Oryctolagus cuniculus: one gene and its partners. The protein of the gene in region 3 purifies or fractionates together with the protein of the main gene of each other region. This does not show direct contact. Links are inferred from orthologs where the notes say so. Each region holds a gene or a part of one and is shown on either strand. Other genes may lie near its edges. The genes, in order: COP1, STK40 and FOS.

The links.
Region 1: the proteins of FOS (region 3) and COP1 purify together in Homo sapiens (affinity purification with mass spectrometry; 4 studies listed by BioGRID and IntAct, counting the BioPlex papers as one, with this or other methods). This does not show direct contact. The link is inferred for Oryctolagus cuniculus from reciprocal best matches to the Homo sapiens genes FOS and COP1.
Region 2: the proteins of FOS (region 3) and STK40 purify together in Homo sapiens (affinity purification with mass spectrometry; 3 studies listed by BioGRID and IntAct, counting the BioPlex papers as one, with this or other methods). This does not show direct contact. The link is inferred for Oryctolagus cuniculus from reciprocal best matches to the Homo sapiens genes FOS and STK40.

What each region holds. Positions count from the first base shown.
Region 1 is NC_091438.1:4,284,872-4,288,585, forward strand, and holds part of COP1 (E3 ubiquitin-protein ligase COP1), read right to left. Parts: intron 1,549-3,714; coding exon 1,434-1,548; intron 1-1,433. UniProt on the Homo sapiens protein: E3 ubiquitin-protein ligase that mediates ubiquitination and subsequent proteasomal degradation of target proteins.
Region 2 is NC_091438.1:136,337,183-136,340,896, forward strand, and holds part of STK40 (serine/threonine-protein kinase 40), read left to right. Parts: intron 1-211; coding exon 212-356; intron 357-474; coding exon 475-594; intron 595-886; coding exon 887-971; intron 972-3,152; coding exon 3,153-3,371; 3' UTR 3,372-3,714. UniProt on the Homo sapiens protein: May be a negative regulator of NF-kappa-B and p53-mediated gene transcription.
Region 3 is NC_091451.1:21,316,087-21,320,356, forward strand, and holds the start of FOS (protein c-Fos), read left to right. Parts: upstream 1-1,470; 5' UTR 1,471-1,667; coding exon 1,668-1,808; intron 1,809-2,459; coding exon 2,460-2,711; intron 2,712-3,123; coding exon 3,124-3,231; intron 3,232-3,326; coding exon 3,327-3,968; 3' UTR 3,969-4,270. UniProt on the Homo sapiens protein: Nuclear phosphoprotein which forms a tight but non-covalently linked complex with the JUN/AP-1 transcription factor. In the heterodimer, FOS and JUN/AP-1 basic regions each seems to interact with symmetrical DNA half sites.

The DNA of each region.
Region 1 (3,714 bases), on a different chromosome or scaffold from region 3:
TTAAAAAAATTAATAATGTTGCCTACCTCAATCTCTTTTTCTACTCTTTTTGTTTTTTAATAACTGCCACATGGTCTACAATTGTATTTCGACATAGTACCATCAAATAACAGGAAAACGTTAACAAGAACTCTCTTCCACATAGAATGCAGTTCTCAGTCCACTTTCAATTTAGCAGCTTCTTACTGTAGTTTCTACTTACAGACTATTACAGAGGTTAACAAGGAGTTAGAGTCTGAGCCAAGAAATGACAGCTTTCTATGTGTAAAAGTTGCTTATCAATAGTTTTAAACTTATTCAAAAAAATATCTTGGCTTCCTCTAATCTTCCTAGAAAAAACACTACGTAAATCCAATACAAGGACTTTCAAAATGTGTATAAAAAAAGGAATTAAAAATGTGAAACATTTTTAAGTTCACACATAATTATTTAAAATAATATCCATCATCATGACATTTTTGAAGATACTTTGCACATTTTTCTCTCTACTACCAAACCTCATATAAATTTGTGTAAAAGATTTAAAAAATATATAGATTTTAATAATATTTTTTCAAGAGAAAATTAAGGCCTAGTTTTAAACAACAATAAAAAACAAGGCATATTTTTCTTTGGTAGCCTTAGGGCATGTGTACTAATGACATCAATTAACAAAATAGCCAAGAAATGCCAAACGCTGTGCTTCACATAAATGACGTGTATCCCCTAAATAAACCTTTAATGTAGGTATTGAAGTCACCACTTCACCAGTGAGCATAGATGCTAAGAACGGTTGAAGAACAGGGAGTTTTATTACTTCTCCACATCAGCGCACTCTATGCCACCACATCATATCTTGGCATACGTCACCTCTTCTACCTTGAACATGTTTCCAATTACTTTTCCCAGTTAATCCCTAATAGCCCAAATACAACTTCTCCAAAATCTTGACAGGATTCCATCTCTCCATTTTCAACGCTGCCTGGCTTTCCCCTATTTGTAGAATAGGAGATTTCTTCTCTATTACTATAACATCCTTTACATATTTAAGTAACACATAGTATCACACAGAATTATGACTTACTTGCTGCTTTCTCCCTTTACAGTAAGAACTGGTTCTTCTACCTTTCTATCCTCAGCAGTGCTCAGAACTTAATGGTGACTAGGTAACTTAATATTTTTATTTTTGCTAGCTATATGTTTATGGCTGCTTTTCCAAGCTTTATACAACTTATTATATGAAATTAAAAACTTTCAAACAGATAGCAAAAATCACCACTAAAAAGCAATATTCTCCAATCTCTCTCAGAATCTCCATACTGCTTTGAAAGACTACGTAAAAAATGCAAACTTATCCTTTGCAGCTAGAACTTTCCAAAAATCCAGCATAAAAACCTAGAAATAGATCTGAAATATGAATTTCAGATACTTTAAGAGGCGTCCTGAACATGTACCTGAGATACGAGACATCCTTGTAGAAAAATAACACTGCTCTAGGTCTTCAAAATGAGCAGTGAGTCGTTTTCGTCTTGAAGCTAATGTGCTGATATACCAAGGCTGTTTCTTTGTCTAAGGCAATAATAAAAAAAGATATTTATAACTCAGAACAAATCAGACCCTTTTATACAGAATATTATCCAAATGTTTGTATATTTATAAGTATCTAAAGTTCATCACAATAAAATGATTACAAATGGTGAAAAACCATGGTTTCTAGATATTTTCTGATTTCTCTTTTAAAGTGAAAATAGGTACCAAATTTACTAACAGAATGACTAAAACAAAAATGAATTAAAAGATAAGTACTAAATGAGAGTTTTATAAGACTAAAATGAGAAACATCTTAGAACTCTCTGAATTAAATGAAGTGTTATTCTAAAATTTTGAATTTTACGAATCTTAAAAAACAGAAATTATTAGAAAGCAATTATTAAACAGAAAACTATTTTTCATCATCTTTATATTGTAGTCTCACACTGAATTATCAGAACAGCTCCTGATTGTAGGAAATATCCACTTAATACTGATTATTAGATTAAGCAGTAGTAATATTTCTTACTAAAGAGTTTTACTTATTTATTAGAGAACAGAATAACAAAATCAGATAGAAAAAGTCAAAGACAACAATCCAGAAATACAGTGTAAGATACTGTAAACATCAAAGATCCATGATCCTAGGTGTACATTACCTACAAGCTTGTTTAAAAAAAGGCTATTATCTATCTTGAGGCACATAAATAGATAGAGAAGATATATAATGAGATCTTGGAATCACACAATTCACCAACAGGTATAGTCAGAACGTCAAATGCACTACCTCGAGAGTACTAAGTACTATAGTAGACACTGCACAGTGTGCCCTTGCTTTAATCAAACTAGGTGGAAGGTAAGAATCATATTGTGAAGTACTGCTTTACTCACAGGAAAGGAAGATAACTTCCAAAGACATAACAAAGAAGAAGCTGAACTCAGAAAAATGATGGCGAACAAAGTACAACAGCACAGGACAGTGGGGAAAAGAGGACAGTCGTTAGTCTGGGGACAAAAGCCTGCTTACCAAGTCCTTCACTGCAATTTGGCAACCACCCCACGCAAGGAAACCTAACACAGAATTTGCAAACTAGAAGAGATATCTAAAGGAATTACCTACAATGAAAGTCAGAAACCAGAAAGCTTGAAAGAAATGATATGAGAAATAAAAGATGGAATAATGATTTGAAATATGGCCAGAGTATCAGAAGAAGAGTGCAACAGGTTCAATAAAGAAGTGTTTAAAGAACTGGTAGCTGGAAATCTTCCAGAACTGGAAAGAAACATGAACACACAGACACAGAAACTATTCCTACCAAGCAGGATGACTAAGAGGAAGTCTAAAATTCGAGCCATTATGTTTTTGTCCAACGGCATAAAGAAGATCTGAAAACTCAAACAGAAAAGATAACTTATTTAAAAGATTAACTTACTTAATTATTTAATAATAAAGAGGCAAAATACTTTTAAAAGCAATAGAAGAAGACAGAACACAACATACTTTGATTATCATCAAAAATTGAGGAAAAATAACTCCAGTCTAAAATTCAGGACCCGATAAAACTATCTTGCAAAATGAACAAAATATATTTTCCTATGCATGAAAACAGTTTATAACCAATGAGCCAAATCTAAAGGAATTTCTGAAATTGTGTGTGGTACCTGAAATACACATAACAAAAACTAGAAGGTCTAAGACACAAAACTGAGAGAGCAAGAAAACTACCAACCAAATAAATGATTCTAAATATTGCTGCCAATTATAATAGTGATTTGTGGGGTTTAGAAAATACCTGTATATATACATACATAGCATAGACATCACACAGAAGTGAGGAAAATCTGGGTTTTGAAGTGACTATATTTTTCAGGAAAGTAATTAAGATACTGATTAAGAATAGACTGTTTAGATGACAAATGTGGATTAATTTCAAGGATAACTACTGAAAGGATCGTAACACAACAGGTAGCATTCAAATCTGTAGAGGGGTAGTGAGAGGAATAAATATAAGAAAAAAATCAAAATGTGAGGAAATAGCAAAAATAAGGAGTAAAACAGAGAGAAACTACATCAGTATTCATAATAATCTAAATGGAAACACGCACCAATCGAAATAGTGATAGAACTCATTTTCTGAAAACATAACCGCAGGCTATCTGCCAAAGAAACATCTAAAACATAAACAAACAGAGATTTTGGAGACA
Region 2 (3,714 bases), on a different chromosome or scaffold from region 3:
TGTGGCCAATATGATCCCTCCCCAAGGAGTCAGGAAAGGCATCCCAGGTGATGCACGGTGAGCATGTGCCAAAGGGGATTGCAAGGGACCAGCCATGTGGGAGGTAGGCGGAGGACCCCGTGGTGGGATTTCAGGCACAGAGCTGCGCATCCAAAGGGAGGCGCTGTCTCCCACGCTGAGTGTGTGTGTGTGTGTGTCGCCCTTCCCCCAGGCCGGCCTTACCGGGGCAAGCCCAGCGACATGTGGGCCCTGGGCGTGGTGCTCTTCACCATGCTCTACGGCCAGTTCCCCTTCTACGACAGCGTCCCACAGGAGCTCTTCCGCAAGATCAAGGCCGCAGAGTACACCATCCCGGAGTGAGTCCTGTGTCCCTGGGGGTGGGGAAACAGCCCCGTGGGCTGGGGTCCTGCGTGAGGTCTGGCCCCAGGCCACCCTGCTGAGCCTTCTCCTTCTCCACCTCCCTCTCCATGTCAGGGATGGGAGAGTCTCTGAGAACACCGTGTGTCTCATCCGAAAACTGCTGGTCCTTGACCCCCAGCAGCGCCTGGCTGCCGCTGACGTCCTGGAGGCCCTGAGCGCCATCATTGCTTCGTGGTGAGTGGGCAGGAGCTGGGCTGGGTGCAGGACAGACACGCAGCCTGCCATGAGGCAGAGTCAGGCGTCCAGAGTCTCCCCGCGGGCAGGATGGGGAGGGTGCAGGCAGAGCAGGGCACTCGCTGCACTTCAGGCCCATCAGAGGGTGGGCACTGCCTCACTGGGTTCTCACTGCCACCTGCGAAGGAAAAACTGAGGGCCAGAGAAGCAGGCGGTCGTGTCAGGCAGGTTAGTCTGACTGCAGCCGAGTCCGGGGCTGCCTGGAGCCACCTGGCTTGTGTCCACCCCACAGGCAGTCCCTGTCATCTCTGAGCGGGCCCTTGCAAGTGGTTCCTGACATCGATGACCAAATGAGCAACGCAGACAGCTCCCAGGAGGTGAGTGGGGAGGGCAGGCCTGGCAGGGGCAGAGGCGGTGGCTCCCTGTGGGTGCAGCCTCCTCCTCCCTCCTGCCCAGTGCAGCGGGGGCTGAGCGGCTGCCGGGTGGAAGCGAGCTCCTGGGAGGCCCCCCAGTGGACATGTGGGGTAGTCACCTTCCCCGCCCCTCTGACTCACTGGGCTCTCACTCCTTCCTGCCTTTCATTTTTCAGATGATTCATTCATCTGAGTTCCTGCTTCCCCTTCCCCGTTCCCTGCACTGGTGCAAGTGCTGAGCCTGGGACGGGGCAGAGACCCTAGGGTGTGCCCTGGGGAGCAGGACAAGGGCCAGCCCCAGGCGAGACGCTGGGCCTGGCGTGGTGTAAGGACCTGCCTTCTCTGCCCACCTTGGACCTCTGCCACCAGCAGTGGGAAGGGCTGTGCCTGGGGCCCGGCAGAGCCACCTGGCCTCTGCGCGCTCCCTCCCTCCTCAGGCTGTTCAGTGGCTGCCCCAGGACAGCTCTGGCATCACACCAGGGGCTTGTGTGGCCTCTGTTCTTAACCCCATCTCAGAGAGCTAAGATGACTTTCCCGAAGTCTCACAGCCTCATAGTGGAGCTAACCCTTGAGGATAGAGTGCTTAGCACCGGGGACCTGCAGTCTTCCTGTCCATCAGTGTCCCTGCGTGCTCAGTCTGGGCCTTGTGTGGCCGAGATAGATAGACGGTCATCCAGAGTGCCCCAGCCCACTTTTTTTTTTTTTTTTTTTTTTTTTTTTTTTTTTTGAAGATTTGTTTATTTGAAAGGCAGTTAAGGAGGGAGGTAGAAACAGAGCAAGATCTTCCATCTGCTGGTTCACTCTCCTGCAATGGCCAGGGCTGGACCAGGTCAAAGCCAGGAGCCTAGAGTTTCTTTTTTTTTTTTTTTTTTGACAGGCAGAGTGGACAGTGAGAGAGAGAGACAGAGAGAAAGGTCTTCCTTTGCCGTTGGTTCACCCTCCAATGGCCGCCACGGCTGGCGCGCTGCGGCCAGCACACCGCGCTGATCCGATGGCAGGAGCCAGGAGCCAGGTGCTTTTCCTGGTCTCCCATGGCGTGCAGGGCCCAAGCACTTGGGCCATCCTCTACTGCACTCCCGGGCCACAGGCAGAGAGCTGGCCTGGAAGAGGGGCAACCGGGACAGAATCCGGCGCCCCGACCGGGACTAGAACCCAGTGTGCCGGCGCCGCTAGGCAGAGGATTAGCCTAGTGAGCCGCGGCGCCAGCCTAAGAGCCTAGAGTTTCATCTGGGTCTCCCACATGGGTGGCAGGAGCCCAAGCACTTGGGCCATCTTCTGCTGTTTTCCCAGGTGCATTAGCAGGGAGCTGGATCCAAAGTAGAGCAGCCAGGACTCAAACCGGCACCCACAAGGGATGCTGGTGCTGCAGGTCATGGCTTAACCCACTGTGCCACAGTGCCGGCTCCCCCAACATGCTCTTACTCCCTGGCCTGTGTTGGTCCCTGAGGACCACGGGACCTTTGTGGTTTTTTGTTGTTGTTGTTTTTTTGTTTTTTGACAGGCAGAGTGGACAGTGAGAGAGAGAGACAGAGAGAAAGGTCTGAAAGGTCTTCCTTTGCTGTTGGTTCACTCTCCAATGGCCGCCGCGGCTGGTGCACTGCGGCCGGCGCACCGCGCTGATCCGATGGCAGGAGCCAGGTACTTATCCTGGTCTCCCATGGGGTGCAGGGCCCAAGCACTTGGGCCATCCTCCACTGCACTCCCTGGCCACAGCAGAGAGCTGGCCTGGAAGAGGGGCAACAGGGACAGAATCCGGCGCCCCGACCGGGACTAGAACCCCGTGTGCTGGCGCCACAAGGTGGAGGATTAGCCTAGTGAGCCGTGGCACTGGCTTCACAGGACCTTTGTGAAAGAGACACCTGCCTACCTCTGGGGAGAAAGCAAGCGTGACCCTTCCCGAGGTCGGAGAGTTAGGGAGGACTCTGGGGCAGGCCAGGTGTGTGCCATAGCTGCCACCTGCTATAGCCACACCCAGGGTGGCCAGCAAGACCTGGAGAGCACCAGGGACCCACACTCAGCCCCTCCCAGATAGACTGAGGTTGTGGATGCTGGGGGAGGGTGGGGGAGCCACAGGAGCCAGGCTGCTCAGCACTCACCGCGCCGTCTCCACTGCTTTCTGTGTCTCGCCCCATCTGGGCCCCACAGGCGAAGGTGACGGAGGAGTGCTCCCAGTACGAGTTTGAGAACTACATGCGGCAGCAGCTGCTGCTGGCCGAGGAGAAGAGCTGCATCCACGAGGCCCGGAGCTGGGTGCCCAAGCGGCAGCTGGGCAGCGTGCCCCCCGTGCGGCGGCTGGGCCACGACGCGCAGCCCATGAGCTCCCTGGACACAGCCATCCTGGCACAGCGCTACCTGCGCAAGTAGCAGCCTCAGCAGGGGCGTCAGCACCAACACCACCTCTTGTGCCGCAGCCGAAGGCCTGGCTGGCGGGCTGGATCCTAGCGTGCTGGACTGCCCCAGGTTGCAGTGGGGACGGGGCAAGGCCGGGGACAGCCCAGGCCACACGTGTGGTCAGCAGAGGTACCACGAAGCTACCTTTTGGAATGATTGCCTGATTGTTTGGTTTTTTTTAATCTGAGAAGCCTAGATAACTAATCTGCTTTTAATCATGACGTTTTAATCTACCTCTGTCTCTGTAACCATGCTGTCTCTGGACTGAGTCAGAGCAAGGAGGAGCATACCACCCGCCCCGCCGTGGTCCAGACAG
Region 3 (4,270 bases):
GGCAGGTCCGTGGTTCCGCTCCCCGCACGCCACCCACGACCCGCCCGCTGTCCTGACCCTGCCTCGCCCCTCCCCGGGAGCGGGTCCTCGGCTGGCCGCGACCCCTAGGCCCCCAGAGTGGGTCAGAGGACTCAGGGGTCCTGCAGAGGGACCTGCGCCGTTGCACTCCAGGGGTGTCCGGCGCGCCGGGGCCCAGCTGGGACAGTGTGACCCCGGCGGTCCTTTGCAGCCCAGCGGGAGGCTGGGGGCGTTGGGGGGGCGTGGCGCGTTCTGCAGCACCTGCTCGGCCCCCAAGACCTCCAGGTTTCCAGGGCCCGGGCCTCGAGGCCTCCCGCCTGGATACTGCTGGGCACCATTCTTCCATTCCCCTTGCTGCCCGCCTCCCATCCGAGCTGGAAAATCACCCGCTGCGGGCTCCTTGGGAGCCCAGTTTCCTGGCGGAACCGACCCGGCCCCCACCGCACCCCCAGCTCTGACTTGCGTTCCCTGGCGGCTCAGTCCACCTTGGGGCCCCGCACAGGCCACCCACCCCCAGGACGCCGCTCGGAACGCGGCTGACGACCCCTTGGCATCCTGGCGCGGGGGTCTGTATGACGTATATGGACGGGCGTCCCAGGGATTGGACAGTAACACTAACACCCCCACGTTCGGCCCAGAAGAAAAAAACAAGTGCGCTGCCTTCCTCCAAACACGAAAACGAATCAGTAAAAATCAAAGTACCCCCGCCTCGCAAATCAAGCCGGGCTACCGTATTTCATTTTAGACCCATCACGTTCTGCTTCCAAACGTAGTAATGATCCTGGGACCCTGGGGGCTCGGGGGCTCAGGGGCTCGGGTCTGGGGCCACATTTTGCACCCAGCTAGGGCGAGGGTCGGGAATGGGGGCTGCGTGCGTTCCTCTGCGAGCCGCGCTTGCGCCCTCGGGGCCGTGTACCTGTTCCTCCAGTACTTGAGCCTCAGAACCAACCCTAGTCCCTGCACCGGGGTGAGAGGCCGGCCTCCGTCCCATCCCCCACGACCCCAGGAACAAGGGTCCGCAGCGTGCCCAGTGGGAATGTTCGCTCGCCTTCTCCGCCTCTCCCGCCTCCCCTCCCCCGCCCCGGCGCGGCCCCCGCTTCCCCCCCGCGCTGCACCCTCAATGTTGGCTGCAGCCCGCGAGCAGTTCCCGTCAATCCCTCCCCCCTCTACACAGGATGTCCATATTAGGACATCTGCGTCAGCAGGTTTCCACGGCCGTCCCGTGTCGCCGTGGGGGGAGCCACCCCCGAAGACCCTCTTCTCGGGGGTCTGAGACCCCTCCGGGACCCTCATCTCGCCACGCCCGCAGAGTAAGGACTCACAGGCATACCGGGGCGGGGGCTGCGCGCGGCTGGGGGTGGCCGGGTCGCAGCGGCGCCACCCCAGCCGGCGCGCCACCCCTCCAGCGCCACATGGTTGCGCCCGGTGACGCCGTTGGGCTCATTCACAAAATGCTGTTATAAAAGCGGTGGCTGCGGCGCCTCGTACTCCAAGCGCCTCTGCAGCGAGCAGCCAAGAACCTGAGACAGAGCCGGCGGCCGCTGCATAGCGAGCGAGCAGTGACCGCGCTCCGACCCAGCTCTGCCCCAGCCAGCGCTCCGCCGGCCTCGGTGCCCAGGCCCCTCGCCCAGCTTGCCCTCCCTGCGACCATGATGTTCTCGGGCTTCAACGCCGACTACGAGGCAGCGTCTTCCCGCTGCAGCAGCGCCTCGCCAGCCGGGGACAGCCTCTCCTACTACCACTCCCCAGCCGACTCCTTCTCCAGCATGGGCTCCCCGGTCAATGCGCAGGTGAGGGCGCACTGGCGCCTCCGTGGGGCCCGGGACCCGGGGGGTCGCCAGGGTGGGAGGCTGCCGCGGCCGGAGCAGCCCCAGTCTGGGAGCGCGGGGCTTGTTGTGAGCGCACGCTCGCCAGTCGTCATAGTAAGCCATGCCTGCCCCTCTGCCCGGCGGGTCCGCGCCGGGCAGCCCCCTGCCCGCCCTCTGCGACCGGGGCGGACGTGAGCCCAGGGAGAGACTCGCCAGGTGGAGGTCCGGCTCCTTTGGGGCAGGCGGCAGAGGGCGGCCCGGAGCCGGGAGGAGGGGCGCGGGAGGAGGGTGCGTAAGGCAGTTTCATTGATAAAAAGCGAGTTCATTCTGGAGACTCCGGAGCGGCGCCTGCGTCAGCGCGGACGTCAGGGATATTTATAACAAACCCCCTTTCCAGCGAGTGATGCTGCTGGAGAAATAACGGGAACACGGCCGCGGGCTGGAGACAGGAGGCGCCGCGTTGCGGAGACCTTGCGGGCAGAGGGCAGAGCTTCCAGCCGGGATGGGAACTAACAGACCCCGCAGGCGCCGTTCCCCGGCTGCTGCATGCGGCAGGCGCTGGGAACCCGGCGCGCCCCACCTGTGAACGCAACCCGCGCGCTCACGGCGGCTTCTCCTTCTGTTTTCTTCCAGGACTTCTGTTCGGATCTGGCCGTCTCCACTGCCAACTTCATCCCCACCGTGACTGCCATCTCGACCAGCCCGGACCTGCAGTGGCTGGTGCAGCCCACCCTGGTCTCTTCCGTGGCTCCGTCGCAGACCAGAGCCCCCCACCCTTACGGAGTCCCCGCCCCCTCGGCTGGGGCTTACCCCCGGGCTGGAAACGTGAAGACCCTGACCGGAGGCAGAGCTCAGAGCATCGGCCGAAGGGGCAAGGTGGAGCAGGTGAGGGGCGCCTCTGCACCTTGGGGGGTGGGGGAGGCGGGTCACGGGGACAGCAGCGGAGATTGGGGGAACCCAGCAGCGAGGATGAAGCCAGAGTGGGAATTGTCTGTGCATCCCATCCCGAGCCAGGAAGCCTGGCTCCAGGCCAGACTCCGATAGTCCCGCCCCCAAGAAGTCCGTCTGTAGTTTTCTTCCCTGATAGTTTCCTGTCGCTGGCGCCCTCAGCCTGGGCTCATCTTTGTTCTTGGGCTGAGGATCTGATTTTAAATGCAAGTCACACCCCGCCTGCGACTGCAGGTTAGAAATACTCGTCAGAGGAGGTGCCAGGGAGCTGGGAGGCGGCAGGAGCCAGCTTCCCCGAAGTGGTGGCTGTCACTGTTACTGAAGCGCTCTCTGCTTGGTGTCGTTGTAGTTGTCACCCGAGGAAGAGGAGAAGAGGCGAATCCGAAGGGAAAGGAATAAGATGGCTGCAGCCAAGTGCCGAAACCGGAGGCGGGAGCTCACCGATACCCTGCAGGCGGTAAGTAGACCCCAGGGGTCACACCTTTCGAAGTTCGAGGCTGGGCCCTGGAGTGTGACCGAGTCTCATGCTGTCTCCATCCTTCCCCAACACAGGAGACAGATCAGCTAGAAGACGAGAAGTCTGCGCTGCAGACGGAGATCGCCAACCTGCTCAAGGAGAAGGAGAAGCTGGAGTTCATCCTGGCAGCCCACCGGCCCGCCTGCAAGATCCCCGATGACCTGGGCTTCCCCGAGGAGATGTCCGTGGGATCCCTGGATCTGAGCGGGGGCCTGCCCGAGGCTGCCACCCCGGAGTCCGAGGAGCCTTTCAGTCTGCCCCTCCTCAACGACCCGGAGCCTAAGCCCGCAGTGGAGCCCGGCAAGAACCTGAGCGGCATGGAGCTGAAGGCCGAGCCCTTCGATGACTTCCTGTTCCCAGCGTCATCCAGGCCCAGCGGCTCGGAGACGGCACGCTCTGTGCCGGACGTGGACCTGTCCGGTTCCTTCTATGCCGCAGACTGGGAGCCCCTGCACAGTGGCGCCCTGGGGATGGGGCCGATGGCTGCGGAGCTGGAGCCCCTGTGCACCCCGGTGGTCACCTGTACCCCAAGCTGCACCACTTACACGTCTTCCTTCGTCTTCACCTACCCCGAGGCTGACTCCTTCCCCAGCTGCGCCGCGGCCCACCGCAAGGGCAGCAGCAGCAACGAGCCCTCCTCTGACTCGCTCAGCTCCCCGACACTGCTCGCCCTGTGAGCCGGCCGGGCTGGGGAGGCAGCCGGCGCGGCGCCCTGCCTCTGTCCGGAGTTGGTGCATTACAGAAAGAACCACGTCTTCCCTCGAGGGTTCCGGTAGACTAGGGAGGACGCGATCTGTGCGTGAAACACACCAGGCTGTGGGCCGCAAGGACTGGAACGCACCCGCGTGTGGACCCGAGTCCTTACCTCTTCCGGAGATGTAGCAAAACGCATGGAGTGTGTGTTGTTCCCAGTGGCACTTCTGAGAGCTGGTAGTTAGTAGCATGTTGAGCCAGGCCTGGGTCTGTGTCTCTTTTCTCT